Macaca fascicularis: one gene and its partners. The protein of the gene in region 6 interacts with the protein of the main gene of each other region in a biochemical or structural test. Links are inferred from orthologs where the notes say so. Each region holds a gene or a part of one and is shown on either strand. Other genes may lie near its edges.

Region 1 (3,946 bases), on a different chromosome or scaffold from region 6:
TTGTTGGTCAGGCTGGTCTCAAACTCCTGACCTCAGGTGATCTACCCACCTTGGCCTCTCAAAGAGCTGGGATTACAGGCTTGAGCCACCGTGCCCGGCCTCAAATATATAAGTCTTAGGGTACAATTAACTCTAACAGCAAATTCCCCTTTCTGACTCTTTCAAAATAATTCATCTACTTGAAAGAATATTTGTTCAACAATTAAACACCTAATATATACAAGAAACTAGGACCCTGCAGAAAAGATAATAAATACATGGGTTCAGAGGATTGAGGCACCATCTTTACGTCTTTAAAGGAAGTGATATGGATGGGCTCTTTCAGGTTTGATCACATGCACAACGCTGCAAAGAACAAGGGGCTTTTATCATTTCCTCACATCTCTTTGGTCTCTGTAGGGATCTATCACCTTGGCTAAAGGCCATCCCAAGAAAACAGCTGGGAGCATGAGAGAGAATTTCACATTCAAACAGTGGGACACTGATTGATCTTGCCCTAACATACCTGGGTCTACGTCAGAATCATTTGGATCAACAGCATCATCTTCAGTGAACGGGCGAAGACAGCTCTGCTTGTCCCCGAAGGCCCGCCTGTTTCGTCTTGCTGGCAAGGTACCATCTGAAGGCACAAGGAAAGAATCCCATACTTTATTTTATTTACAACAAAACAAACTTCCCCCATCTGCAACAAACCTACACTCTCCAAATGAGAATGCAATAGAACAATTCAAAGGGAAAGGAACAATACTCATGCTCTGAGAAAGCCAGCTGGAGGCACTATCTTAAGTGTGCCATTCCCCCTCAAGGCAGTTACCTGAGGTCTCAGCATCCACCCCACTCTCTTCAGCCACCTTGAGGAATATCTGCAAAATGAGAGCAGGTGAGAACATTATAAGCACCAACATTACGAAAGCAGTCATCACTGCCATGATTATTACATTATTGAGTGGCATGTTAGCCCCTTAAGACAGAGAAAGTAGAAGCCACATTTCTTAATAACACTTTGTCAGAGTCACTTGGGAGAGAAGCCGTTTTTGCCAGAGAACATTTCCTCAGTGGTGAGAGCTATCAATCTAGACAATCATTTTTAAATTAAAGCTATGGCTGGGCGCGATGGCTCATGCCTATAATCCCAGCACATTGGGAGGCCGAGGCGGGCTGATCACCTGAGGTCGGGAGTTCGAGACCAGCCTGACCAACATGGAGAAAACCCGTCTCTACTAAAAATACAAAATTAGCCAGGCGTGGTAGCACATTCTTGTAATTCCAGCTACTCGGGAGGCTGAGGCAGGAGAATCACTTGAACCCGGGAGGTAGAGGTTGTAGTGAGCCAAGATCGCACCACTGTACTCCAGCCTGGGCGTAAGAGCAAAACTCCCATCTCATCAAAAAAAAAAAAAAAAAAAAAAAAGCTATGACAGTAGGACACTGCAGCAGAAGAAATTTGTTCTGAACCTACAGGGAATGAGTCAAGTGGCTTCTTTCAGGACTGTGGCTCTAAATCTTTGAGTAGGCTAGCACTATGACAAGTTATCCAATACAGAATGAGCAGGAGGAAATAGAGCACTAGAAATACGATGGCAGAGATTCAAACATCAGAAGAGAATCTGAATGAGCGCAATAATTTCCAAACTTGAGTCTATAGACCACTGTGTCCGAAGCATGCAACGGAAGTACAGACTTCAAGGCCTTACCTCCAGAAATTCTGATGCACAGGCCCTGAAGCCAAACCTTAGAATGTTTACTTTTAGTAACATCCCCAGGTGATTCTGCTGCACTGTCAAACTTGGAGACCACTGAGCCAGACAGCTTTTATATCCCCTTCAGCCCTCAAGGTCTGTGATGTTGGATCTCTAAGGGGAGGCATTACATGGATAAAGAGAGGATGGGCTTTGAAGCCCCAAATCCCTGATTCTGAATCTCATGTCAACATTCCTGAGTGTTCATTTTTTCATCTTTTTATGAGAATTAAATGAGGTCACAGTGATTTAAAAAAAAAAAAAACAAATCTCAGCACCTCGCATAAGTAGACTATCCATTCATAAATGTTGGTCATTTCCTATGTATGAGAATCCAGTTGATACCTGGCTGTGACACAGTCACACCAGGGAATTGCTCCTGATTCTGATTCAGTAGGTCTGAGCTGGGCCCAAGTTGCTGAATTTCTAACAAGTTCCCAGGTGATCCTGATGCTGCTGGTCCTCACACTGTACTTGAGTAAAGAGGCTCATTAAAACATAAATAAGTGGATAGGAGTTTAAGGTTGGGATGTAAATCTGTTAGGTACCACTGTTTTCAACATACAAATAAATCTCAGGCATGTACTGTGGTACAGAGGAAAATACTTCTTTCCTGCTGTCTCCCACCACCATCTTAAATGGCTAACTGGAGTCAACATTACTCAGATGTCAATGACCTAAAAACCCAATGACTAACTCCATGATAATCCTGCTCCCAGTGCAGGCTACTGGCCTGGCCTTAGGACATTTGGCCTTGCTATATATTCCGACAGTCAGCCACTTAACTTACTTCTTCCAGGGTCGTCTCTGAGATGCCATAACTAGAAATGCCCAGGTCTGAGAGCCGGTCATCAATCTCATGAAAGAGTTCCACAAAGGCCCCCTCCTTAGCAGCTTCATATGGCAGCACGTAGGTCAGCTCATGCCCTATGTCTTCCACCAGCCGGGCTTCAGACACATGCTTCCTGATGAGATTGGAGATAGCAGAGACATCTGCAGGGACCAGAATGCAAAGATGGCTCAATCAATGCAGAGGGGCTCCAGAGTGAGGGCTGGCCATCCCCCACCCTCTCCTCAGAAGCCTGCTGCTCATACACCACACCTGTTCCAGGTATTTTAATCATTCCACATGTTCATCTCTGGTCTGAGGGTTGGGGGCAAAGGAAAGGACTATGTCTTATTCACCTTTGTATCACCAAAGCCAGGCACATTGTAGGTACTCAGTGTAGGATGGGTGGATGGGTGGATGGGTGGATGCGAGGATGGGTGGGTAGGTGGATGGATGGGTGGATGGATAACTGAGGCTCAAAGTCTGGTGTCTATTGCCTAAGCTCTGGGATTCTTCAACAGAAAACTTGAGTAAAGGAATCTTAGAAGATTCTTCACCCTTTCCTATACTTGAAAAGTAGGCTCCCTCATTTACCTAAATAGAGGGTTAATCTAACAGTTCATGGAAGCAGAAGGCTTCCTGGGAAAAGCCAGCCATTAGGACTCAGCAGAGATGGCAAGGGTCAAGACTTCTGTTCCACATATGCTACTGGTGACACTGGCCTCCTACACACGCTACCCAAGAAAAATCTGGAAGGCTGTGCCTGATCTCCTGGGCTCTCACTCTTCTTATATACTAGACTCAAATCCCAGCCCACTGGCTTGGCCCTCAGCTCCTCATCCCCGGTATTCAGTGTCCACTCCCCTAAGGGATTCCCCAAATCCCAGTCATCTCAGCTCTCTGGGACACTGCCCTGCTAGCTCCCAGACTGAGCCCCAGGCACCCCAGCAAGCATTAGGCCAACCCACCACCAAGCTGCACCCGCCCCCACAGCCACCCAGCCCCAGCCCAGCAGCAAACCTTGAGTCAGCGCCACCAGCCTCTGCACCTCTCCTCCTCTGCCTCCACTCTGCCCAGCTGGGGGAAGCTCAGGCACCACCTGAATAAGAAACCCCAGAGTCCTTACCGATGGTCAGCGTGTCACTCTCATGGTCGCTGCCCAGGCCAGCATCAGAACTGCTCTGAGAAACACTGTCCTCCTGATGGCAAAGAAGGAGGTGAGAACGGATCAGGGACTGAGCAAGGCAGAGCCACCAGCACCTTCGCCAGGGAGGGCTTCCAAGCAGCTCTGTTGTGTGAGAACTAAAGGAAAAAGCTTTCCCTGGGACACATGCACTGGCAGCCGTGGCTTCAGAGGACCCCGTCTGGCATGTGTGTG
Region 2 (3,946 bases), on a different chromosome or scaffold from region 6:
CACTCGTTCCCCACCTGTCAGGTCCTGCCCTGGAGAGCCTTGGCAGATGGCTTTGAAAGCAGTGGTCACCCCAAAGAGGAGCCCACAAAAGTCTGCTTTGATGGTCTGTCTTGTCCTCGATTTGGCAGTGGCTGGCCCTCAATATTCAAGCCCAGTAAGGAGGCGGGGTTGAATATATACCACACATATGCAACCTCCATGGGCAAGGCTGATCTCCCTGGCACTTAAGAACCACATATACCTGACAAGATGGCAGTTTAAAAGCACAAGGTAACCTGGCAACAACTGAGAAATATTCTTACCAGCACTTAATTGCTTCAAAGGGACCCTTTTAACAAAGAAACTGGTTGGATTCTAGAACTAAATCAAGGGTTCTTTTGGGCCAAAAGGGAGAAGGATCAAAGTTTATGCAATTCACCCATATCCTTTCCATTTTCTTAATCATCATTAAAAAAAAAAAAAAAAAAGGAAAGGAAGGGAAGACAAAGACAAAAAAGAACCTTGGAGAGGTTTGACTGGAAGGGCAGAAAGAGTTAGAGGCCTATAGGCCTTTAGGTGTAAGTTTTCAAAGTGGGAGAATTGAAAAACAATCATACTACTGGCGGATTTTAGACATTCCATCTCTACCTCAACATATTTCACTTGGGGATATTTGTCTCCCTCTGAACCCTCAACTTAGCTTATAAATGGCACAGACTTTTAGGACAAAATCCAGAATTCAGGAGATGAACATCAGGGGAGAATGTGGGGTGGGGTGATGCCAAGAGGATTGTCATCATTTCTTTAAAAATGACAAGTGACTATCAAGGAGTAAATTCTACCATGACCTGCCTGGGGTTTGACTGGGCCCCGCTGCAAACCCCAAGTCAAAGTTAAGTTGAAATCCTTGTAAGTCTGTGCTCTTGCCTCTTCGTGGTCAGGTGGGGGTTCACACACACTGCTGTTTACACAGCAGTTGACATGACGATGAAAAGTCCCATCATCACCTCATAGATGCGACAGGCGAAAATGGAAATAGGGAAAATAGGGATGAGAGTCAGAGAAAGAAAATTCAAACCGATGTCTCTAGGCTCTGTAGAGAGCTGTCCGACTGTGGGAGCTGCGCTTGGTTGCAGTCCACTGCATTGTTGTTTGTATTGGCGTATGGAGTGACCTCACCATCCAACAGGAGCACCCCAGTCCCAAACTTAGAAGCCTTGTCAGGATTTTCCTCCTCTTCCTTATCCAGGAGTGGTGTTCGCGGCAACTCCTCATCTATGGCGAATTCAGGGTGGGTCATGAAGTTGTGGATGGAGTTTTGGTTGTAGGGTTTCTGAATGGTTTCGTGGAGGGAACTATGGAACGCTTTGACCACTTTGATCTATACCAGGGGAAGGAAAAGGAGGATGAGAAAATAGGGAGGTGAGAATTGGCTGGCAGAACAAGGAGATGGTGGTTTTAGGAGAGAAACAAAACCCAAACTATAGAACATGACTGCTCAGCAACCAAAACCAAACACACATCAGAGGAGATCATGGGGCACTAGAAACATCACACGGCTCAACTTTCAAGCAGTGGGGTGGGCTGGGGTGAGTGATGGCAAACAACTAGGACATTTTGAAAGCTGCATTTAAAGAAGTAGAAAACCCAAAGCAACGTTAGCATTCCCAAACAATCTACTTTTAAAATGAAACAGAAAACAAGAAGTTTCATTAGTTCTTTTAGATGGAGGGCAAGGGCATGGGAACTAGATGCAAATTGATAGCCAAACTTAAAAAGATGATTCAGACATGTGGATTTCTGTGCTGAGGCCAAACATTTTGTGAATGGGGAATGAAAAAATTATGCATTGAGGTTTAGTTATCTGTTTAAGGACCTCAAAGAGCCAGCATACACCAATCTGCACATAATACACGTTGGGTGACGAGTGACCACGAATACTGTGCAGCCAGGCAGACAAACCAGTCTTCATTTGTGTCAGCAGCATGCAGGAACTTAAAACTCTCCAGTAATAATTTGCCCTTTCAGCCAGGAAACATGCATATTTTTACATCCCACGACCACCACTGTGTCCCCTCCCAGCAAATAACAGAACTTCACTCCTTCAGCCCCTTCCCTAGAAGAAGTGGATAAAATACAGGTGTCAAAAGATGCTTTCCTCCTGCCTATTGAGAAAAGACCTGGCTCTCATGATTCAAATGCACGTTCATGTCTCTGATACACAGCAATGGTGCCCAATCATGCTGCTTTCTCCAGCTGTTTCCAAATTGTGAAGAGGAGCGTAGTCTTATGTGGAGAAGGGAATGAAAGGGACCAGTGAGAGAAACCTAACTCAGGAGGCAGTGCTACAAACAAGTGGCCTTTCTGATGGGGTGGGTGAAGAGGATGATGGAAAGGAAACCATGTGCAGTTTGTGCGGTTTTACTGGGCAAAAGGAGATGCATTGCCCAGTGTCATAGTCTCTGTCCTACTGTGCAAAAAGGAAGGGATTCGGTCAGTTCAGAGTCATGAAGAAAAAACTGACAATAATTGATTCCTGTGAACAGCTTTTGCTTGTCCACAGGCACCAGCAATTTTGGCAGCTCTGCTTTTCTGAACTGTAGGTCTCTCTGAGGCATGGCTTAGAATCATGGTTGGTAGAATTGGGGTAGAGGGAGAGGGTTGGAGCTCCAAGAAGTTAGAGAGAGGGGCCAGGGGAAAGGTAAATGGTTATAGGACAGTTTTAGTTGTTGGAAGGTGGCTGATCCTAGTCTTGTCCCAAAAATCTTCACTCAGAAAAGAAATGGGAGTAATGTGGGGGAAATTGTTGAGGTTGGGGGGGTAGGAGTGATGAAGGTGAGAGTAAGGTACCTCTTTCATTCCTCTGCTGTTTAAGCAAAAAGTATATCCCAGGAGAATAGGCAAGAATTTGGAGACAGCAGAGGATACAAAGAGTCAGCCAAATTAACTGTTTGGATTACCTGTTTCAGTGCTTCCTACCACCATACAGAACTTTCATAAATACCACTCAAAGGCGGCTCACTATCAATACTGCTGGTCTATTTTCTCTGGAGGAGAATGTGTCTCTGCTGGCTAAGGCTTTCTTTATCTTGCCCCACTCTACTACAGCCCACCCAGGACTGAGGGTGCTCAAAGCTCAGAAGGCAAAGGACTCCTTGCCACTCAATAGCATCAGCTCAGTACCTCAGCTAAGAGGAATCAGGGAGCATAGGCACACACTCACCATGCTGAACAGAAAGTGAGGACCACATTTTTATTATCTGATTCCTATTTGACCATCTGATGGGGGAATTTTACCTGTCATGTTGCCTTTGCTCCAGATCTAGGTGAGATCAGATGGAATGGGGGCTCCATCTGGTCTTCAGGAAGTCTCAAGTTTTCATTGATCTACATAAAATCTCAGAGCAAGGCAATTTGGATTAAGTGAGTCCAAACCCAATGCCTTCTCCTTTGGCCCTGGCACAGATACACTGGCCAAGAGATGGGTCCAAAGCCATCCCACCCCATCAAAGCCGTCACTGTCAGGAGTGATGACATAGCTCACATTTTCCATATGCTTTCAAGATCTCAAAATTTCTACCAGCTATCACAGGAGGGCAGGTGCCTTTATCCACCAGTACATTATCTTCAATATCAGTGAGTTTCAACTTCCTGCTTCCATTCAATTGAATACTTTATGAAAAAATTACATGTGAAGTCCACTATAGAAAATAAATTTGCAACAATTGGGGTTGGAGTGAGGGTCTGGAGCCCTGTTTGTTGGCTTTTCCTCTCACCTGTTGCGGTGACCAATAATACTGTTACAGGTAAACAATGAGGGAGATAAAAGTGAATTGGGGATGGGTAGATGGAAAAAATACGGGAAACATCTTTTGGGGAGCAAGAAACAGTCATCCAGCTAGACTGCAGGACTTCTGGAATCTAAAGGGAAACCAGCCACCTGTAAGGAAGCTCATGTGAAGAGGGG
Region 3 (4,723 bases), on a different chromosome or scaffold from region 6:
AATATGATTTCGGTTATTTTCAATTGTGTAGGATCACTAGTTGAAAAACTTCCTCTCTTCAAATATCTGTAACAAATAGAAAGCATTTCTAATCGAAAGGTTACCTTTAACTGAAGCAGGCAAAACTATTTGCACAGCCAATTGTGTGTGTGTGTGTGTGTGTGTGTGTGTGTGTGATCCATACATCTGAAGAGGGTTTTCAATTTCTAATGCGGCAGGGAAACTAAATTTGCTTTTACTTCCTCATCTTGACATCAAGTCAAATAAGCACGGGTTAAGCATGGGTTAAACTCTGCTGTAATATGATATTGTTACATAATAAAAGTTTCCTGTTAGCATTTACAAACACCTCCCAATATCCTCCATAGTGTTACTGGACACAAATTAAACCTCTAAATTAGAAGATTCACTGATTATGCACACAGCTGAAAAACAACGTAGCAACCAAAAGATAAATCTTTCTGAGTGCAAAATATTTTTTTTCTATTTTTTTTCCTTTCTGTTGAGTCCTTAACTAAAGGTTCCTATTTGATAGTTTTCGATGTCCTTGATCTACACAAAGTAGGTGTTGGAAGAAAGCGGATTGGTCAGACAACTGACTTATTATGAATCTGACTTTACTGAATCTGACATAAAATAACCAGGTGCATAGAGGTTTGTCATAAATGCAACCTTCCAAGCAAATTGTGTCAAATAAAAACACACATACGATGCTTTTCAACATCCGGAAACACTTATTTCAGACATTAGTTGTTCTCGTTTTCATGTTGCTATTTTCCATAACTGTTTTACAGGCACCAAAACGAAGATACTCTCACAGCAATATACTGCATTCAAGAAGACAAGCATTCTTCTAGTTTCTCTTTTAAAATAAAAAGAATCTAAGCTCAATTCTCGCGAACCATTTTCTGTCAAAATTTTGCTCTCCCGTATTAAGGAAAACAAAATTTGACCAAAAATGCATACTGACCATCATTGATTTTACACGTAAATAATTACCGTTCTTTAAAAGTTGTAGGGCAGCATTTTTTTTTCAGTCAAACTCAGTAACAAAGAACTGAGACCTCCACTAATAAATAACATCTTGAAATATACATGATTGTGGTGTCCCCGTGTCAGTTCAATGGTAACTGACACGCCCCGAATTTAACTGTACCAGACAGTTCTATCTGTCCCATCGCTGACCAAACAGTGCTTCTCTGTTTCTATTCATTATGTATTATACGAGGTCTAAACACCGACCAGTATGACGAGGGAAAAAATTACACTTCTTAGGATACCAAAGTGATGCATTCAAGATCTCTCTTGCAGTACATGCCCGTCCATAAGCACTAACACGCATTTTTTTGATAGAGCTAAAATATGTTGGCCCCAAGCTCATTACTCTAAGAACCTTCAGGTCCCCTGTTCCTGCTGGTTTTCAGAAAACCCTGGTAAAAACCAGGTACTATCCAAACCTTGCACACCAAACTTGCAAACAGCCTTGTGCAATGATCAATAACCTTGGCTACAGAGTCATTGGCCCCAAATTCACGGTTCTGAAGACCAATGAAGCAAAAACCCAGACGAAATGCTAGCTGGAGCCCCAAAGAATTACCGCGCTTCCCCTCTGCCGCATGGAGGGAAGCAATGGGAGAAGAGGAGAGGAATGAGGCTCACCAGCTCCGAAGATGCTCCGGTGACCTCTGGCTGCGCGGCGAGAGCTGGGGAGGGAAGGCGCTAGTGCAGCCGCGGCGGGCTGTGTGGACTCTGCCCCTGGTGCATTCCTCGCATTCCTGCACAATCAGTCGCCAGCCCAGGAGCCGGCAGCGCGCGTCCCCCGCTGTACACACACACCTGACTACCGCTGCGCCCCGAGCGGCCACGGCCGCCGCGGCGCCTCCACTGCCCGCGCTCGCGGTGTGTCGCACTCAGCCAACACGCAGCCAAATCCCGGCCCCGCCGCTCGCTCTTCGGGTGGCGGTCCAGGGGAGAGGGCCGGCAGCCTCAGCAGCCGGTGGGGGGGATACCAGATCCGCCAGGGAGGTGCCGCAGCTCCGCTTCAACTCCTGGCAGGGAGAGGAGGAAGCGGCGGCGCAGGAGGGCAGCGGCGAGGCTCCGGGCTGGGAAGCCGGGAGGGGTGGAGCGTGAGGATCCGCGGCCAGTAGAGAGGGGCGCACTGGGCAGAGGGGGTGGGCAGGACCGGCAAGGAGTGCAGGACTTCGGGGACAAACGCAAGACCGCGCGGGCAGCAGGGGCGTGGGAAGACGGGGAGGGGGCCAAGGTGCAGGATCTGGGGCTGCAACGACAGCCAGCCAGCCCCGAGGGCTGAGGAGGGCGGGCGTCCTGTGGTGTCGGGGGCGCAGGGGCCGCGGGGCGGCAGGCAGCGGGGAAGCCGCCGCGAGGGCGTCCAGCAAGGCTCAGCGCGGCGCTCAAGTTCGGGGCTGGGGGCTCCTGATCCACACAGCCCAGCGTAGGCAGAGGTCGTGCGCGGCGCGTACGGGAGACCAGGGAGAGGAATCGCCGGGAAAAGCAAATGGAGGGTGAAACTTGTGCGCCTGCCGGGGGGAGGGGAGCAGCAGGCGAGTGCGGGCAGGAACACGAGGCGGGGCAGGAAAGCCGCGGCGGCCGCCAGGCGCTGGGGACGGGGCAGCGGGAGGGAGGCCCCCAGCCCCCGGTGCGCAGGTCCCGGCCCCGGCGCGTGTTCGGGGCGAGGGCCGAGGGTCTCGTGGGCAGGAGTCTCCGCGCCCTCCCGCGAGCCCACACACTTACTTTCCAGCTTAGGCTGCGGCCGTCGTCGCTCCAGGGATCAGGGACATCGGCGCCGAGGGGTCGCCGCTGCGGCACCCGCAAAAATTAAAAAAGTGCCGCGGCCGCGCGGCTGCCCGCCCCTCCCTCCCCCACCCGCCCCCTCCCCCGGAGCGGCTCTCCCACCACCCCCGGCGGCGGCGGTGGCCAACTTGCCCCTCTACCCCTTGCCCATGGTGCCGCCTCCGCGGCCGGCGTCGACGCGGACTCAGCCCCGGAGCCCCCTCTACTGCCCAGAGGCCGCCGCCGCCGCCCGCCCGGCCGCCAGCCCTCCCGCCCGGCCAGCCCCGGGCTCCCGGGAACGTCAGCACGCCGCCGTCCCCGGGCCAGCTCCCGCCACCCCATTGGCGGGAAGGAGAGGGCTGGCCCTCCCCATTGGCCCGGCCCTCATATTGAACGGGCCAATGGGAGCTGCGGTTTCAGGTCGCCATAGAGACCGATGCTGTTCAGCGCAAGAGGGCCTGGAGAAGGTGGGTGTGAGGCTGAAGGTGTCTCAGGTCTCGGGCGCGGGAGGGGGTGGCGGAGAGGACAGGGAGATTCCCCAGCGCTGGCTCTGAAATCTGGGGCAGGTTTTCCTTTGCCTTACTGCCAACCCCAACTGTGCCTGGTAGGGTTTGTCCCTGGTATCAAAGGTAGGAACAGCTGAGCCCTTAGACGTACCCCTGACGGTGAGAGCCCAGGAATGGGCGTTTCACTTTTCCTGCGTGTGGGGAGTCCCTGAGGCTATGCCCTTTGACCTTTGACATGTGTGCAGCTTCTGCTTCTCCAGGTGAGTCTGCACCCCATCCCTTCCATCGCTGCTTCCTCCTGACGTCACTGAGCCACCTAAATCCTACTTACGCTGTTCTCCCCAGCCACTCCCCCTTCCCTGAGGTGGATCTTGCCTCAACGTTTTGGGTCTTCAAACTTATAACACTTCTCAAAGAAGACTCAAAGAGGATTTCCTTTGAGGTTATTTTGGTAGGGAAACAAGGTGGCGGATTGTATGATAGATGCCAAAGCGTCAACACATGAGCTAGCCTGTTCCCTGATTCTCAAAGCAAACCTCTAATCTCCCTGTGGGCAGATATTTATTAAACACATCTGTGTGTACATCCTGCACGATGAGCTTGACAGGTGCATGTTCTTTCGCTTGAGAGGTTACTGGCTTGATAAAGATAGAGGAAATAGAAACGGTCCTTCACGCCTTCTGATGATTTCACAGAAGAGTAAGGGAAATGGATTACAGTTGATGGATTTTGTTTTCTATTTTCCAGTATCTCTTTAAATTTGATATGGAAATAACCTGAGGCATGAAATCAGTACACACAAAAATCTTCAGCTTTAATAATGTCTTCTACTTTCATTTAAAATCATTTTGTGCTAGTTTGTCAATACTAATTGTTTTGCCAATATATTTTGTATTTAGATATCACCTTCTTAAAGTGAGATTTCATGAACATATAAGGCTTTAAAACATGATATTGCTCTAGCTTATAGCCACTGATATTCTTACATTCTTTCTTTTGGTGATTTTACTTTTTTAAGACTAATCTTTTTAGTAAGGAGACTATGTTTACGTTACTGCCCCTCAAATTGGAGGGACCATATTGTGTGAAAAAGCTGATAGGATTTTGGAAATTACAAATATTTTGTTGAGAGAAACAGATTAATGTGTGTGCAAGCTGCATATGTCTCAGTATTCTGAATTTTAAGTTGAGTGATACGCTTTGCTACCGGTTTTTATCTTACTATATTTGAAGATTACAAAGATGTAACCTAAGAAATGTTAATATGGTGCCTTGATTGGAAAAAAAAAACCTCTCCACATTTGTAGTAAAAAAGAGGTGAACATGTGAATGTTCCCCCTAAATATTTTCAGAATTGGGAAGGGATCTTCAGGGGCCAGGAAGTGCTGTGCCATGGCTGGCCATCATGGAAATAGGCTGTTTTTAAC
Region 4 (3,946 bases), on a different chromosome or scaffold from region 6:
TGTCACAGCCCATGATTCTGTCCCCATTGCCCTCAGTTTCTGCATCTCTGGAGTGGGGACATGACCACAGCCCGGGTCTGGATTCTGTTGTGTGACCCTGGCCAAGTCACCTGACCACTCCTAGCCTCAGGGCAGTGGGTTTGATGACAGCAAACCACAGGGCTACTGAGAGTTAAGGAGATCTTGTGCCCCAAGGGCCTGGTGGCCTGAACACCCCTCGGGTGGTCCTACTGGGATGGCTTCATGTGGAGAGAGCCATCTACCCCCTCTCCATCCTGACACAGCCAGAGATGGGCCTCATGGAAGATGGGGTGGTTTCGTGGAAGGGAGGTGGGTCTCTCCAGCAGCCCTAGCACATATCGCACAGAAACATGTTTTGCTTGGGATCGGGGAACACTGCCTGGTGACAGCAGTGAGTGAGCTTGCTGTCCTGGGAGGGTTGCCTGGGTCCTGATAGCCTCTGGCTGGGGTTTGGCATTTGGCTGTGAATTGGTTCTCACTGGGCTGGTGCATGACTCTCTGTGTCCCCACCATGCTTCGGGCGGAGATGCAGGTGCTCTCAGCCCAGCCCTGCTGGGTGAGTTTGCAGTCCTGAAGAAGGTGTCATGGGGCAGCTCAGAGGCGGGGCTGGCGGCTGCTGTGACGATGTCCACGCACCCCACTTGCCTGTGCAGGGCCTACGAGGACGCGGCAGTTGATGGCGGCGAGCTGACAGATGAACGGCCTGCGTTCCCAGCGGTGACGGCGCCCCTGGCCCAGCCTGAACGGGGCAGCCTGGGCAGCCTGGACCGGCTGGTGCAGCGCTCGCCCTCAGTGGATAGCGCCCGCAAGGAGCCGCGCTGGCGGGACCCTGAGCTGCCTGAGGTGCTGGCCATGCTGCGGCACCCCGTGGACCCCGTGAAGGCCAATGCGGCCGCCTACCTGCAACATCTGTGCTTTGAGAACGAGGGTGTCAAGCGGCGTGTACGGCAGCTGCGGGGGCTGCCACTGCTTGTGGCGCTGCTGGACCACCCGCGGGCTGAGGTGCGGCGCCGGGCCTGTGGGGCACTGCGCAACCTCTCCTATGGCCGTGACACTGACAACAAGGCCGCCATCCGGGACTGTGGTGGTGTGCCTGCCCTGGTGCGCCTGCTGCGGGCCGCCCGGGACAACGAGGTCCGCGAGCTTGTCACTGGTGAGTGGGACCTGGCCATGCCCACATCCCCTGGGAAGAGAAGAGTGCGAGGCTCAGCACGGGAGGAACGAGGCCACACGGCCTGCGACCGCCTGGGAGAGTGCCCGGTGGGCAGGAGTGCAGCCACTGAGACGCTTGCCCCAGGAGCCAGTCATCAGGCCCAGATGCTGTGACAGGCTCCCCAGTCTCTACCATAGGCAGGAGGCTGACAGTGGGCCCCTCAGGCATGTCCCCTCACCTCCTGCCCCCACAGAAACTCCCCTGGGACCTGCCTCCTTGGTTCCCACCCCAACAGTGCAGTGGTGGGGCTTGTGCCTTGTGGGACCTGAGGGACAGGTAGGGTCACCTGACCGTGTCTCTGTGAGGCCCTGTGGCCTCAGGAGTGTTAGTGCCACCTGCCGTGTGGCAGGGAATGGGTGGGACGGGACAGTACTGCCACACCCTTCTCTGCACCTCCTCCCCTTTGGGGTTCCTTCCTAGCTGGAAACCAGTACTAGTGTCCCTCAGAACCACTCACGGCTTTTGTTACTTCCTACTGTTCTGTGTGAGCTGGGACATGAGGAGAGTGGGACAGGTCCTGGGCGTGGCCACCTGGGGAGGTAGGCGGGCGGTGCATATGGTCAGCACGGGTTGGCCAATCGCACCCCACAGGCACACTGTGGAACCTGTCGTCATATGAGCCCCTGAAGATGGTCATCATTGACCATGGCCTGCAGACACTGACCCATGAGGTGATCGTGCCCCACTCAGGATGGGAGCGTGAGCCCAACGAGGACTCCAAGCCACGGGATGCTGAGTGGACAACTGTCTTCAAGAATACGTCGGGCTGCCTGAGGTGTGGACCAGGCCTGGTGCTAAAGCCTCAAGCACACCAGGCCCTGTCCTTGTGGTCCCAGATAGTGTGGAAGATGGCAGCAAGCTTAGGAGCACCAGAGCCTGGGAGCTTCAGAGCTGTGGCACAAGTCCTGTGGATGAGAAGTGGGGCCTGATGGGGCTGTACTCACCCCCAAGTGGTGCCCTAGTCTTCCCAGGGGCACCCTCTGGAGGGGTCTGTGTGGTACCATAGCCCTGCTTAGCTCTCACCTACCTTCCCATCACTTGACAGCCAGAGGGGAGCTGGGACCTCCCTGTTCATCTGCCTGGGAGCCTCATACCAGCCACCTGTGACCTCTGCCCTTCCCCTCCTACCCCTGGGAAGCCCTGCTGACTCCACAGAGTCCTGGGTCCCCACAGTCTTGCTTGTCCATCAGGGTGTTCCCCCGCAGCCCTGCAGGCTCTTGACCTTGGGGTAAGGTGGGGCCTAGAGCTGCCATTGGGGTGGCGAGGGACCCAGAATTGCCTATGCATAGGTTCAGGTCTCTCTGAGTCTACCTGTCCCTTTCTAGGTCAGCTGGGAGGCAGGAAAGCCCTGTCTTCCCCTGCCCAGCTTCCCCAGCCAAGACAGCTGTCTGCCAGGGCTCCCCTCCTGAGGCCGGGGGCAGTTCGCTTCTCCCACTTCGCTGAGCTCCAGGCTGTGGCGTCCTTTCCCAATAGTGCTAGGAGGGCAGCAGCAAGGCCTGTTTTGCAGATGAAGACAAGCCCATGAGGCCAGAGTGGGGCTGGGGAGTTTGTGATAGCCAGGGGTCACCTGACCTGCTCTTGGCCACACAGGAATGTGAGCTCTGATGGTGCTGAGGCCCGGCGGCGACTCCGGGAGTGTGAAGGGCTGGTGGACGCGCTCCTGCATGCCCTGCAGTCGGCAGTGGGCCGGAAGGACACGGACAACAAGGTGGGCAGGGACGGTCACAGCCTCATACCAAGGGCTGGAGAGACGATCATGCGGGTCCCGGGAGGCTGGAACTGTGGGAACAGCACAGGGGAATGGGTTTGTGGGTCTGGGGCGGCGTTCTGGGCATGGCCTGCCTCACAGTGACCACACTGAAGTAGGCACTGTCCTGCAGGCAGAAGATGCTCCATGAGGCAGGGGCTTCCTCCCATGGACCCTCCCTGGTGGTTACCGCCCTTTTGTCCCCCCGACTGAGGCCTCCCTGTCCCTTTGCTCCTGGTGCCTTCATGCACACCACCTGTGGCCAGTCTTTCCTGAGGGCTGGCCCTGTGCCTAGGGTGCCCTGCCCCAGCCACTCACCTCTCCCTGCAGTCGGTGGAGAACTGCGTGTGCATCATGCGGAACCTGTCCTACCACGTGCACAAGGAGGTGCCCGGGGCCGATAGGTACCAGGAGGCCGAGCCCGGGCCCCTGGGCAGTGCTGTAGTCTCCCAGCGCCGGAGGCGGGATGATGCCAGCTGCTTTGGTGGCAAGAAGGCCAAAGGTGGGTGGGGCGGACTGGGGTACCATCTCAACTCCTGCCCCAGCTGAAGGCTCTCTGTACACCCACAGCAGCCCATCATGGAGGCCAGAGGACATCTGCACAGCCCCCAACAGGCAGGCAGGGAAGCTGGGAGCCAAGGAGGCTGGGCTGCCCTGGGTCACATGGTTGACGGGGCCCAGGGTTGGGGGCCCAGGTCCAACCTTCCCCATCTACACTGTGGGACCTGCAGAGAGTACACAAGGGAAGCCTGGTGGTCCCACTGATGCCCAGACCCAGTCTCTATTCCGGGGAGAGTTCCACTCGCCCATGAGTTGAGAAAGAGCCATGGCTATTGCTGCCTGCTGACTGTTTACAGAATAGCTGTAGACTGCCTCCAACCTGTGGGGCAGTCACCCATCTGCCTGGGCAAGATGCCCTGCACACCTTCTCTACCGCACTAGCGGGGTGTAGGTTCTCGGGACCT
Region 5 (3,946 bases), on a different chromosome or scaffold from region 6:
GCCCCGGTTGCCCGATGCCCCAGCTACAACTCCAGCTGACCCTCCTTCCCCACTCTCTGGGTGGCATTACGGGGGTGTGGATCCCTTGCCAAGAGGTTGGCACATGGGTGTGCTGGAATGGCATAGGGAGAATGCACCGAGTTTGTTTGCTTGGGAGAGGGGCAGGGGGCATCCAGAAGATTCAGGATTCGTCATCGCCTCTCTTGGGGGATTTTTACCCCTTGGCCCTGAGTTGTGCCTTTGGGACAAAGGAAGCCTTTCTTTGCCAGCCAACACCCTGTACTGGCGGGTGAGCTCCACAGGGCTGGCACGCTGGGGCAGCCTCTGGATGCACAGGGTGGGCCTAGTCAGAAGGCGCCTTTCCCCTGAAATCCCTCTACTTCCCAAGCACACAAGCTTTCTCCTGCTGTTAAACCTGCAGTGTGCAAGGGATGTCGGCGGAGGGGTCCTTCAGTCAGCCTTCTCCCTGTCTGAGATGAAATGACTCTGGGAGTGAGTTTGGGTGGGGAGGCCAGGTCCAAGAAGGTCCCCCGCCCGTGTCCTCTGACCCATCTGCTCCCTCCTGCCAGTGTGCACCGGCACAGACATGAAGCTGCGGCTCCCTGCCAGTCCCGAGACCCACCTGGACATGCTCCGCCACCTCTACCAGGGCTGCCAGGTGGTGCAGGGTAACCTGGAACTCACCTACCTGCCCACCAATGCCAGCCTCTCCTTCCTGCAGGTGAGGCCCGTGGGCAACCCAGCCAGGCCCTGCCTCCAGCTGGGCTGAGCCCTCTGTTTACAGGTGGGTGGCAGAAGAAGGTGCCCTGCCCTTTGTTTCCTCTTTTGTTGTGGTTTCTCAACCAGGAAGTCCTTTCTAACGTCTAACCCCCATTCATTTTACTGCAGAATCAGTTGACTCTCTCTCTAATGTGGCTGGCCGAGGTCATCTCTGGATGGGATGCGTCTGTGTTTCCGCTAAATCTTGTGCTCTCTTGCCAGCATGATCATGTCCCCCGTCCACCTGCCCCAGCCACTATCCTTCTCCCATCTACAGCAGCAGAAAGGGCTGGTGAGAAAGGTGGATTACAGGCCCAGTTCTGCCACTGATGAGCCCTATGAATGTGGCCTACACCCCCTTAGCTTCACGGGGTCTCAGTTTCCCTATCTGTATATTGGGAGCAATTGTGAAGCTCAAAAGAGAAATGTCTATGAAAAGATTATGAGCAGGAGAGAGTGGAAACCAACCTGCTGGGTTGTGTCCATGGACCCTGGAGTGGGGCCATGTGCTTGGTTTGTCAAATTGCAGACGCCGGCTGAGCATGGTGGCTCACGCCTGTAATCCCAGCACTTTGGGAGGCTGAGGTGGACAGATCACCTGAGGTCGGGAGTTCGAGACCAGCCTGACCAACATGGAGCAACCCCGTCTCTAATAAAAATATAAAATTAGCTGGGAGTGGTAGCACATGCCTATAATTCCAGCTACTTGGGAAGGCTGAGGCAGGAGAATCGCTTGAACCTGGGAGGCGGAGGTTGCAGTGAGCCGAGATCATGCCATTGTACTCCAGCCTGGGCAACAAGAGCGAAACTCCGTCTCAAAAAAAAAAAAAAAATTGCAGACGCCATCCCATCCAGGCCTTTGCTTTCACTGATGAAGAAACTGAGATGCAGAGAGGGCGGGGTACCTGTTCAGAGTTTACGAAGTGCCCCCCCACCATTATCTTTCTTGATCGTGTAAGAATCTGGTGAGGCAAGGTGGGGCGTGATCTTTATCTCCATTTTATCGTTTTATATAAGAGGGAACAGGACTGCTCAGTGGCTGGGGGCCTTGCCCAAGATCTCCAAGTACTGGGGAACCTCAGGGAGGCCCTGGGGGTGGCAGTGTCCCTGTTTCAGCCCCACCCTGCTTCCCCCTTCCAGGATATCCAGGAGGTGCAGGGCTACGTGCTCATCGCTCACAACCAAGTGAGGCAGGTCCCACTGCAGAGGCTGCGGATTGTGCGAGGCACCCAGCTCTTTGAGGACAACTATGCCCTGGCCGTGCTAGACAATGGAGACCCGCTGAACAATACCACCCCTGTCACAGGGGCCTCCCCAGGAGGCCTGCGGGAGCTGCAGCTTCGAAGCCTCACAGGTGGCCTTCGCCGTCATTGAAACCTTCTCTTGGTTATTCAGAGCTGACCAGGGCCACTGCTAACCATGGGGAGGCTTTGTGTGCATTAGAAATGGTGTCCCTTCTGGGCAGACGCAGGCAGAGCCTGGGAAGACACCCTGAGAAGACTGGAAAAAATTCCCCTTCTTCCTAGGAAGCTGCAGCTTACGTCAGCGCACAGAATTCAATCATGAGAATGCAGGCTGGGTTTTTGCCCCCACTTGGCTGAGTGAAGTGTACAGTGAACAGCCTATGTAACTGTTTGCTGGCCCTGGAGCTGACTCTGCCCCAGAGTCTGGGTGCCAGGTGCTTTGCCCGCATGGCCCATTTCAGTCACACTGCAGTCCTGTCAGGAAAGAATCAGTGTTATTCTCATTTTACGTATGAGAAAACTGAGGCTTGCAGAGATGTGAGTGATGGGGCTGGGTTTCAGACTCCACGGTCTCTTAACCACCAAGCAACATGTCCGGAGTAGAGGTGAGAGGGAAGGAGAAAGCTGCGGTCCACGTGAGCATCTGGACGTAGCATGGACAACTCACTCCTCCCTGGCTCTCGCTTTGTTCATGTTGCGGGGGTGGTGGTGGTGGGCTCAAAGACGGTGACGATATCTTTCTCTCCTCCCTGGGGAATCTGGGGTTGTATAAAAGGCCTGCTCCTCTTTTAGAAGGCAGGAGGGCCCCAAGGGAAGCAGAAGGTGACAGAAGGGGAAAGGGTCCCCTGATCATTGCTCACCCCACAGAGATCTTGAAAGGAGGGGTCTTGATCCAGCGGAACCCCCAGCTCTGCTACCAGGACACGATTTTGTGGAAGGACATCTTCCATAAGAACAACCAGCTGGCTCTCACACTGATCGACACCAACCGCTCTCGGGCCTGTAAGCCATGCCCCTCCCTGCTGCCTCTTCTCTCAGACAGCCTGACCCCAGCCCCAGACTCCCGACTTACAACCCAGTGCCTGCCCGCCACTGCCCCAGCCGCCTACACCCATTTCCTCCCTCTCTGTCCCTCCTGCCATCTCTCTGGGCCTCTTCATCTCTGGGGTTCTCTGTCCTGTCTTCCTCTGCTTCTAGGCTGTGCCTGTGGTTTGGGGGCCTCTCAGCCTGTCTGGGTCCCTCCTTCACTGTGCAGTTGGCCTCGTGGCCTCTGCTGCTGTTTGTGTCTCTCTCCGTTATTAACCCGTCCTCTCACTGTTAGACATCTCTCTCACTGCCTCTCCCTGGTTCTGTCCTCAGGCCACCCCTGTTCTCCAGTGTGTAAGGGCTCCCGCTGCTGGGGAGAGAGTTCTGAGGATTGTCAGAGCCGTGAGTCTCAGGGAGGCCTGGAGTCAGGGAAGGGGAGGGCCAGGACCGGGGCTGGGTGGAATGCAGGTGTCATACGGGTGACATGGGAGGGGTGGGATAACAGGCTTGGGATGTCTTCCCTGGGGCAGGTAGTCTCCCTAGAAGGTGATGCTGATGAGGGTCTGGTGCTCAGGGTGCCACTCAGCCTTCATCCTGCCCTTTGCCCAACAGTGACGCGCACTGTCTGTGCCGGTGGCTGTGCCCGCTGCAAGGGGCCACTGCCCACTGACTGCTGCCATGAGCAGTGTGCTGCCGGCTGCACGGGCCCCAAGCACTCTGACTGCCTGGTATGTGCCTCTGCTGTGTGCCCAATGTGCCCTATCCCCCAGGATGCAAGGGGTGGGCACCCTGCCTGGTACTGCCCTATTGCCCCAGCACAGCAGGGCAAAACAGAACAGTGACAACCAGCTACCTGTCCTCCCAGGCCTGCCTCCACTTCAACCACAGCGGCATCTGTGAACTGCACTGCCCAGCCC
Region 6 (3,946 bases):
CAGGCAACACAATCTTAAAACTGGCCATTTTTGTTTCATTTGCTGCTTAAAATAAAAATTATAAATTAGATTTAAATGGAGCGCTAATTATAAAACAGATTGCAAGTACCACCATTTGCAAAAAAAAAAAAAAAAATCGGGATTTCCATAACACAGAGAATGCATGGACATGCAACCACAGTAGAGTTAAAAATTTCCTGTGACTAAAAAATTAAAAACTGAATCACCAGTAGGAAATGTATAGTCAATGGCTATGACAAGAACAGATCCTGCCGAGCTCATAAAATGCAATTATTGTCTTTTTTGCTTTATAAAAAAGACATTACCTATTTTATTGCATTATTCTCTTAATAAAAACATACTACCACATAGTACCCCCCATCCCCATTCTTTGCTTCCAGATTTTTATAGAAAATAACTGTTTTAATCTGGCCTTGGAAAGTGAACCCACCAGCACCACCTTCACCTACTCACTCTTCAATTCAATATGCACATAGCAAAAGCCAACACTTCAAATCTCTTACCCACATCAAAAAAAAGTAGTTTCAGGAGAAAAACATTAATACCAGTTGAATAAAAATAAGGGCATAAAAGCTATGAGAGAGATAGCTCTGCCATCTGTCTCTGGGCTAAAATCAAGGCTAACTATTGCCTTGCACACAGTTCAGTCATGTATATGAAATCCAAAAATAAACCTACAATCTATACAAAAACAACACAGGTTTGTTTTTGTAGCCTTGATTGCTATGTTTAAAAACCTAACAAGTTTTATATGGTATGAATTCAACAGTCTCCTTTATATTCTGTACAGTGGTTCTTTCCCTCTAACCACAAGTTCCATTACTTCATTAATGTACAAATTTGAACATAATTTTTTGAGTTCTTCTTTATATATAAAAATAGTCAAAATATTAATTTCCCCTGCAAGTATCTTCCAATAAATCTTGCTGTCTTCCCCCCTTTTTTTGTCCACAGTGCTTATGAGGAAACTTCTCGTACAATGATGAGTTCAACTGTATTCTGGAAAGTTTTTAGCAAGGACACTGCTTGTCCATGTTCAATATTTATAAAACTGTAGCCATTAGCCTGGAAGAAAGAGGAAAAATGCTTTTAGGAAAAACATTTTATAGTAATTTATTTGCATTTCTGCCAAGTAGTTCACAAACCTGTAAGAAAATAAGAATCACTTTGGCAACTTAGAATAACATGTAGATTCACAGGCCCTACCCAAACCAAGGAATAAAGTCTCTGAAGATGGGGTCTAGAAATGTGTGTTTTGTCCAACTTTTCAGACAATTCTCATGTAGCAGTTCAATGTTAGGAATCACTAAGAAATAATGTCAGACATGGTGCTGTATAATGCTAATGTGCGTCTGAGGTGACCAAACTGTAGCACAGCAAGGGGCAAGGGCTAGCCTTCCGATTGTCTTGAAGCCATCACATCAAGACCACCATATTTCTTACAATTAAGGTTAATATTTACTGAGGTTCTACTGTGTACCAAATACACAATTCTAAGTGTGTAATATGAATTAGATCCTTTGAGTCTCATAATGCTCAAAAAAGATTCTTTCACCATCTTATTTTAGAGAAGAGAAAGCCCAGGCATGGAGAGGTAAAGTAACTTGCTCGGTCACAAATTGAAACTACAGATTCCCAAATGGTTCAGGAAAATAAACGCGTATAACTGTATGAGTGTATGAGTGAGTGTGACTCTCTCTCTGTGTGTGTGTGTGTGTGTGTATAGACGGAGGGAGAAAAGCAGAAGAAAGAGGAGAATAAACGCTAAAGACAATGTAGCAAATTATGAACAACTGGTGACCAAATGATGTAATATTGGTGTTTATTGTACTATTTTTGTGGCTTTTCTCTAAGCTTGAAATTATTTAAATTTTTTTTTTTAATTAATTTTATTTTTAAAAAGTGTTGGAACCAGAATTTAAACTCGGGAAGTCTGGTTTTCAGAATCTGTACTTTCAGCTACTAGATATTAATGTCTCTCTCTTTTTTTTTTTCTTGGTTTGAGGGTTATTTTTTAGTTCTTTAGTTCTCAACTAAGAACAGTGATGGTAGGGGTAGAAAATGAGAGCTAGACTTGTGTCCTAGGCTTGTCTTCTTCTAAGACTGCAAGTGTTTACGTAAAATGAGTAGCTGAAAGAACAAAGAAAAGGAAGGGACAGGAAAAAATGAGTTTCTCAGATTTAAAAATTTTCTTCTCCATTTCTGAAAGGCCAATAGCCCACATCCAAGAAGTAGTACTCTAATCCCCCTCAAATTAGTAAAAATTAACATTCCTGAGCTTAAACAAAATCCTATGATGTATCAAACTTTTTTTTTTTGAGACTGAGTCTCGCTCTGTCGCCCAGGTTGGAGTAGAGTGGCGTGATCTCAGGTCACTGCAAGCTCCGCCTCCCGGGTTCATGCCATTCTCCTGCCTCAGCCTCCCACGATTTTCAAAGTTGAAGTGAAAACATTTTAAACTATGAAAACATTAGAGTGTTATAAAATGAAAAACAAAGATTTATTTTAATTACCTGAATAATTTTATCACCTGGCTGCAGTAATTTTGATGCTGGTCCTTCAGGCTGTACCCTTGTTACAAATATACCCTTTAATAACAAAAAAAAATTGTTTATTTAACTAAAAACAGTATGTATAAATAACAGAGTACCAAGGAGCAACTTCTCCTCCACACCATGCAAATATTTCAATCACGGTACAAGTTTTCTCCCTGACTTCTCTGAGTAATACTGTAACAAACTAGCTATTTTTACCTCTAGTAATTCTGACTTCAGTGATTTCTCTTGAGAGTAATAAAATTGCTTTTATAGATGTGTGAAAAAGCAATAAGAAAATTAAAGATCACTTGATAATATCACAAACATTCATAGTTTTTGGTTAAATTGTTTTAACTTGAACTGATCAAATTACAAAACAAAAAGGTAAGCAATAGAGTGGGGAATCAAGGTGATGTCTACCTAGATTTACATAAACATCTACTAGATTTTCACTTACATATAAGTATTGAATCAGCAAATAAAACTTTATAGGTGTTTCAAGAATATACAAAGAAAACTTACATCATCATCAGGTCTGAATGGGTTTCCTCTACCCCCGACACCACCTGATATGCTAAATCCAAGTTCTGGATCCTTTTCAACCCTCACTCGAATCTGAGTTAATATGAAAATAAAGGAAACTTACTATTTCAGAAAAAGTTATAATGCCACAACATCTATATTTAAATACTGATGGGTTAAGTCCAAGCAAACATAAACATAAGAATTCATCAAAAATAAACATTTGGTCAGATGAAGTGAAATACAACATAGAATATTATGTTAATGAGTTAGTGAGTTAAAGGCAGAGCTGAGATTATATAAAGCATAGCTCCTAATTTTATTGCTTGTCTTATAAGGATAGGAATCAATTAAAATTGACCCTGTTTTACTTTTTAGACATCATAGATTTTAATGCCATAGTATATAAACACAAAACATGTATATTATTATCAGTTTCCACTTGTGGGACATCTAAATTACACAGTATCTCTGTTTAGTGGCTTGTTTCGTAAGATATCTAAATGATCCACTGGTGGTTTTGTGATACTAACTCTTCATTTACTGAATCTGTTTAAAGGCTTCAAAAGAGGTAGGATTTTAAAATATGACCCATTGATAGTTTTTATAACCAAGCTATAGAAAAAGATGCAAGAATTAAAACTTGTGTTATAAAACACTCCCTTTCACCAGAGACACAACCAAAATGAATAAAGCATTTGTTCTCTACCTTTCTAATATTATTGATCATTTTATTAATAACTATCAAGACATAAGAAATGTGTAGCTTGCTGACTTTTTAAGTAATTTTTAAGATTAAATACTCAAAAGTAGTTTGAAGTCTGTAGTCAAATTTCAAAATCTAAGGAGTTAAGATTTTAAGTGTC
Region 7 (4,598 bases), on a different chromosome or scaffold from region 6:
CTTTGAGAACAGCTGCCCTAAAGCACAGTAAAAGTTGTTACACATGCATCATCTCCAACTGCAGGCACTTTAAGAACTTCCCTTGAGAAACTCCAGCCTGCCAGAACAGGGGGTGCCTTCTCCATGCATTTCCAACAAGCACCTGAACTGGAAGCAGCTCAGTACAGCAGCTCCAAAGAGGCTGGGGAGCCAGTCTGCCCAGCTTTGGAGCCTGCTCTGACACTTGATTGCAGTGTGAGTCCAGGCAACTTACTCAACTACTCTCAGCTTAAGTGTCCTCACAGTAAAATAGAGGTACTAGCTCCTTCCCCTCCATCAGGGAAACCGGAAATGAACACCTGCTCCAGTCCTCAATGGGAAGGCATCACTTCCTATTTCCCTACCACCTAAATTTTGAAAATGTAGGGGGAGAAAATGTAAGGAGGCAGGGCTCACATCTGTAATCCTGGCACTTTGGGTGGCCAAAGCGGGAGAAACACTTGAGCCCAGGAGTTCAAGACCAGCCTGAGCAACAAATTAGAGAGCCCCATCTCTACAAAAAAACTGTTTTTTAAATTATCCAGGCATGGTGACACACACCTGGAGCCCCAGCTACTCAGGAAGCTGAGGCAGGAGGATTGCTTTGGCCCAGGAGTTGGAGGCTGCAGCAAGCTACGAATGTGTCACTGCACTCCAGCCTGGGTCACAGCTTGCACAAAGCAAGATCCTGTCTCAAAAAAAAAAAAAAAAAAAAAAAGTTCCTTGCCCTGCCTGAAGTTGAGGAGACCATTTGTCTACTTCAAGTTATTATTTACAGAAACCACACCCATATTGCTTCCTCCTCCATGCGCCTCTCGCCTCAAGAGAAAGGCCGCCAACCCAGAGGGTCCTACACTCACTGAGTGTATCACAATCGAAACAAGAGTAAGCGACCCATCCTCTTGGAATCCCCTAGGTCAAGCTTGTCCAATCTGAGGCCCGTGGGCTGCATGTGGCCCAACACAAATTCGTAAGCTTTCTTAAAACATCATGAGATTTGTTTGCGATTTTTTTTTTTTTTTTTAGCTCATCAGCTGTCATTAGTGTTAGGATATCATTAGTGTTAGTGTATTTTATGTATGGCCCAAGACAATTCTTCCAGTGTGGCCCAGGGAACCCAAAAGATTGGAGACCCCCACCCTAGGCTGTCCCATAATAAAAGGCAATATCAACATGTGGGAAAGATGAGGCAGCAGAAGTCAAGAAACAGAAGATCTAATAATCAACCAAGTGAGATTGAAGCCCTTCAAAGGTTCAGGCTTATGTAGTTAGCAGATGGAATTCCCGCCCCTCAAGACAGAGTCTCACTCTGTCACCCAGGCTGGAGTGCAGTGGTGCAATCTCAGCTCACTGCAACCTCCACTTCCTGAGCTCAAGCAATTCTCCTACCTCAGCCTCCCTAGTAGCTGGGATTACAGGCGTGCTCCACCACACCCAGCTAATTTTTGTATTTTTAGTAGAGACAGGGTCTCACCATGTTGGCCAGGCTGGTCTCGAACTCCTGACCTCGTGATCCACCCGCCTCTGCCCCTCAAAGTGCTGGGATACAGGCGTGAGCCACTGCGCCAGGCCAAGATGGAAGTTTCAGGTACAACTATCACCTGAGTCTTTCTCCACCTGTTTCCTTGCAGAAAATGGGTAGGGCTGTGGGCCCTCCCAGCTCAGGAGCCCTGGGGTGGTTTTAAGATGCTAGAACTCCTGGTAGGAACCACCTGCATCAAGTCCATGGATCACCTCTCTGAAGGTTAGCGATTCCAGGGACCCCACCCCGGCGCAGTCCTCCTAGGTGGAAGTGAAAATACTGGAAACAGGGAAAGAAGTTGGTCAAAGACAGACTCCAGTCGTGGCGGTGTATGTACCAGTTAAAAGCAAAACTTGGAAAATCTTGTTCAATAACAGAGTCCTCATTCATAAATAAAAAAATAATAGTGTTTTTTACCCACATGAAACTTGCCATAACTAGGTACCACGACCCACATGGACACACAGTGAGATTCACACACAGACAGGAGAGCCCTGGTCACTGAGACAAACGATACAGAGACATCGGGACACAGAGAGACACAACGGGACGTGGAGGTGGATCCAGCTGTCTCGTAAGGAATATCGGAAGGGGTGGGGGACACTATTGGGAGATGGCATAGGTCCAGGACACTAATTAGGCTTTGGCTGAGATTAGATAAAGGAAGCTGTTCGTAAGCTGCTTACTTAAAAGGAAAGGAAAAGGTGCGTTTGAGTTCAGGAGACTGTGAGTCTCGGAGCAGGAGGTGGCAGCCAGCGAAGAGTGGGCGTGTAATGGGTGCAGTCGCTTCTCCCGCTGGACAAGAGACTCCCCCTTTCGGCAGCCTGGGTTCCCCGCCTCCCCACCTCCCGCTCCTCCTCCCCGGAGCCCTAAGGGCCCGCAGGGCCTCCAGCAGCAAAGCCGCTGGCCCCGCGCCACCAGCGCCGGGTCCACGCGTCCCCGCGTCCCCCTGCCCCGCGCACAGGGGCGCAGGCGGGGACCATGCGGCCGGCGTGGGGCGGCGCCACCGCAGCAGAAAGCCCGGCGTGGACCGCATGGCACAGGAAAGCGCTCCCCTCGCCCCCAGCCGCAGAAGGCTGGGGCAGCATCGAGCGCGGCCCCGGGAGAGCGCGTCAGCGGGGCCAACGGCTGCAGGGTGACCTGTTTCGGGCGGGGACACTCACCAGAAGAACACACGCGAGCAGAGGTTCGCGCCCTGCAGCGGGTTGGGCTTCACCTCCTGGTACACTGGCAGCATCTTGCCGGGCGTGGGGGGCGCGGGCCGGGGTCGCGCTGATCAGGCGGCGGTGGCCGCGGGCTCCCCTCCTGGACCGTGAGCAGAGATGCTGGAGCTCCCGCCGCCTCGCCGGTCTGCTCGGCAGGAGCCTGTGAAGCAGCCGTTTCCGGGAGCCGGGCGCCGGCGGCACGCCCAGTCCCCGCCTCTCAGGCCCGCCGCTACCAGGGCCGCCTCGGGGGCGCCCGTTACGCGCCGCCGCCTGGAGCCCGGGAGCCGCGCACCGCGTGCGAGCTCGGCCGGGACCGACGGGTGACGCGGCGGGAGGAGACGCGGCGAGAGGAGGCGAAGCTGGCGACGCCAAAGGGAGCCCAGAGCCACGCCCAGGGGTGAGGCGAGGGCCGCCCGCGCGGCTGGATGGAGAGGGTAGCCGAGCGCACGGCGCGGAGCCCGGGTCCTGAGGTGCCCACGTGCTCGCACCCGAGTGAAACTTCCCGAAATTCACTATCCGAGTCTAGGCGCCGACCCAGAAGGTGGAGCAGGGAGGCGTCGGCTGTGCCCGCCCCTGCGACGCAGAAACGCCCCCTCGGGCACGGATTTGGGGAGACTGGGAGACAGCTGCCTCGTGCTCCACCAGACCGCCCCCTGGGCGCCTTGCCCTTCTCAGGACCAAACGCGGGTGCCATGGGAGGCTCTCCAACCTGTGAGCCAAACATTTGACCTCGGACGACAGCAAAGTTTAGCACAGATTATCCTTGTAGAGCTGCAAGACCTCAAGAAAGCCGGGTAACTCGAGAGTAGGACCCAGATGAATTTGGGAGATGGATGAATGCTGTCGTCGATGGGGCGGGCTTTCGACGGGGCGGGCTTTCGGCATCTCACACGTTGCGTGGTACTGTGGACCTCTGAGCTTTTTGCTGCCCTCTTAGATTGGGAAAGGAATGTAAGAGGAAAGAGAGACTGCCTTATGATTTCTGTCATCAAGCCCTAAAGCCTAACAGATAACAGTGGCAAACGACACATGTGTTCCAGAAGACCAATTATGTTTATGTGCATTTCTGAGTGCGTAGTCTCACTTGTGTGTGTGTGTGTGTGGCAGTCTCACACACAGTGACTCGATTATGGCTCATTGCACCCTGGACCTCCCAGGGCTCAAACAATCCTCCCAACTCAGCCTAAGTAGCTAGGACTACAGGCACCCGCCGCCACGCCTGGCTAATATTTTGTAATTTTTGTAGAGATGCAAAAATCAAAATCAAAGGCTCTAAGTTCAAATATTGATAATTTTTGAAGCCAAATGATGTGTCATGGGAGTTTATTTTCTTCATATTTCATGCATGTTTGAGAATTTGGTTTTCTTTGTAACAAGATCATTTTATTGTTCCTTGATAATTTCTCACTTTGTTGCCCAGGCTGGTCTCAAACTCCTAGGCTCAAGTGATCCTCCTTCCGTGGCCTCCCAAAGTGCTAGGATTACAGACATGTACCACCACACCCGACCAATTATCTCACTTTTAATTCTATCAGTGCCACATTCAAGGTTATTCTTATTTTATAGATGAGGAAGGTGAAGCTGAAAGGCAGAACTTGTCCAGGGTCTTAGAGCCAAGAAAGGATTAAACATGATTTACATTAAGCCTGTGCCTAAGCATGGCCAATCTCCCTGGTGGATGACCAGTGTGCACGAGACGTGGCCAGAATATGCTGGTTGAACGACTGTAGGAATGAATGAACAAAATCTTGTTCCAAGCTTTTGGACTCCCACTTCTAAGTCTTCAGTTACTTCTGTGGCTACCTTACCAAGGTCAGCAGCTGCTCTTCATTTCCACCCTGAATGAAAAAAAA

The links.
Region 1: the proteins of ERBIN (region 6) and ABCA1 interact in a test that uses a peptide from one of them, tested with the Homo sapiens proteins (2 studies listed by BioGRID and IntAct). The link is inferred for Macaca fascicularis from reciprocal best matches to the Homo sapiens genes ERBIN and ABCA1.
Region 2: the proteins of ERBIN (region 6) and ATP2B4 interact in a test that uses a peptide from one of them, tested with the Homo sapiens proteins (2 studies listed by BioGRID and IntAct). The link is inferred for Macaca fascicularis from reciprocal best matches to the Homo sapiens genes ERBIN and ATP2B4.
Region 3: the proteins of ERBIN (region 6) and PKP4 form a complex in vitro, tested with the Homo sapiens proteins (4 studies listed by BioGRID and IntAct, with this or other methods). The link is inferred for Macaca fascicularis from reciprocal best matches to the Homo sapiens genes ERBIN and PKP4.
Region 4: the proteins of ERBIN (region 6) and ARVCF interact in a test that uses a peptide from one of them, tested with the Homo sapiens proteins (3 studies listed by BioGRID and IntAct, with this or other methods). The link is inferred for Macaca fascicularis from reciprocal best matches to the Homo sapiens genes ERBIN and ARVCF.
Region 5: the proteins of ERBIN (region 6) and ERBB2 form a complex in vitro, tested with the Homo sapiens proteins (4 studies listed by BioGRID and IntAct, with this or other methods). The link is inferred for Macaca fascicularis from reciprocal best matches to the Homo sapiens genes ERBIN and ERBB2.
Region 7: the proteins of ERBIN (region 6) and ABCC4 interact in a test that uses a peptide from one of them, tested with the Homo sapiens proteins (2 studies listed by BioGRID and IntAct). The link is inferred for Macaca fascicularis from reciprocal best matches to the Homo sapiens genes ERBIN and ABCC4.

What each region holds. Positions count from the first base shown.
Region 1 is NC_088389.1:53,300,025-53,303,970, reverse strand, and holds part of ABCA1 (phospholipid-transporting ATPase ABCA1), read right to left. Parts: intron 3,768-3,946; coding exon of another isoform or gene 3,695-3,767; exon of another isoform or gene 3,668-3,694; coding exon 3,589-3,667; intron 2,733-3,588; coding exon 2,530-2,732; intron 864-2,529; coding exon 815-863; intron 620-814; coding exon 506-619; intron 1-505. UniProt on the Homo sapiens protein: Catalyzes the translocation of specific phospholipids from the cytoplasmic to the extracellular/lumenal leaflet of membrane coupled to the hydrolysis of ATP.
Region 2 is NC_088375.1:61,563,191-61,567,136, reverse strand, and holds part of ATP2B4 (plasma membrane calcium-transporting ATPase 4), read right to left. Parts: intron 1,361-3,946; coding exon 1,052-1,360; 3' UTR 1-1,051. UniProt on the Homo sapiens protein: Calcium/calmodulin-regulated and magnesium-dependent enzyme that catalyzes the hydrolysis of ATP coupled with the transport of calcium out of the cell. By regulating sperm cell calcium homeostasis, may play a role in sperm motility.
Region 3 is NC_088386.1:53,923,876-53,928,598, reverse strand, and holds the start of PKP4 (plakophilin-4), read right to left. Parts: upstream 2,961-4,723; 5' UTR 2,752-2,960; intron 2,502-2,751; exon of another isoform or gene 1,660-2,501; intron 1-1,659. Other genes in the region: CCDC148 (coiled-coil domain-containing protein 148), read left to right, coding at 2,961-3,257. UniProt on the Homo sapiens protein: Plays a role as a regulator of Rho activity during cytokinesis. May play a role in junctional plaques.
Region 4 is NC_088384.1:32,853,318-32,857,263, forward strand, and holds part of ARVCF (splicing regulator ARVCF), read left to right. Parts: intron 1-553; coding exon of another isoform or gene 554-674; coding exon 675-1,174; intron 1,175-1,825; coding exon 1,826-2,009; intron 2,010-2,824; coding exon 2,825-2,942; intron 2,943-3,311; coding exon 3,312-3,483; intron 3,484-3,946. UniProt on the Homo sapiens protein: Contributes to the regulation of alternative splicing of pre-mRNAs.
Region 5 is NC_088390.1:60,768,290-60,772,235, forward strand, and holds part of ERBB2 (receptor tyrosine-protein kinase erbB-2), read left to right. Parts: intron 1-569; coding exon 570-721; exon of another isoform or gene 722-784; intron 785-1,899; coding exon 1,900-2,113; intron 2,114-2,870; coding exon 2,871-3,005; intron 3,006-3,362; coding exon 3,363-3,431; intron 3,432-3,641; coding exon 3,642-3,757; intron 3,758-3,894; coding exon 3,895-3,946. UniProt on the Homo sapiens protein: Protein tyrosine kinase that is part of several cell surface receptor complexes, but that apparently needs a coreceptor for ligand binding. Essential component of a neuregulin-receptor complex, although neuregulins do not interact with it alone.
Region 6 is NC_088380.1:71,776,173-71,780,118, reverse strand, and holds part of ERBIN (erbin), read right to left. Parts: intron 3,174-3,946; coding exon 3,081-3,173; intron 2,610-3,080; coding exon 2,535-2,609; intron 1,087-2,534; coding exon 979-1,086; 3' UTR 1-978. UniProt on the Homo sapiens protein: Acts as an adapter for the receptor ERBB2, in epithelia. By binding the unphosphorylated 'Tyr-1248' of receptor ERBB2, it may contribute to stabilize this unphosphorylated state.
Region 7 is NC_088391.1:86,239,879-86,244,476, forward strand, and holds the start of ABCC4 (ATP-binding cassette sub-family C member 4), read right to left. Parts: upstream 2,897-4,598; 5' UTR 2,778-2,896; coding exon 2,704-2,777; intron 1-2,703. UniProt on the Homo sapiens protein: ATP-dependent transporter of the ATP-binding cassette (ABC) family that actively extrudes physiological compounds and xenobiotics from cells.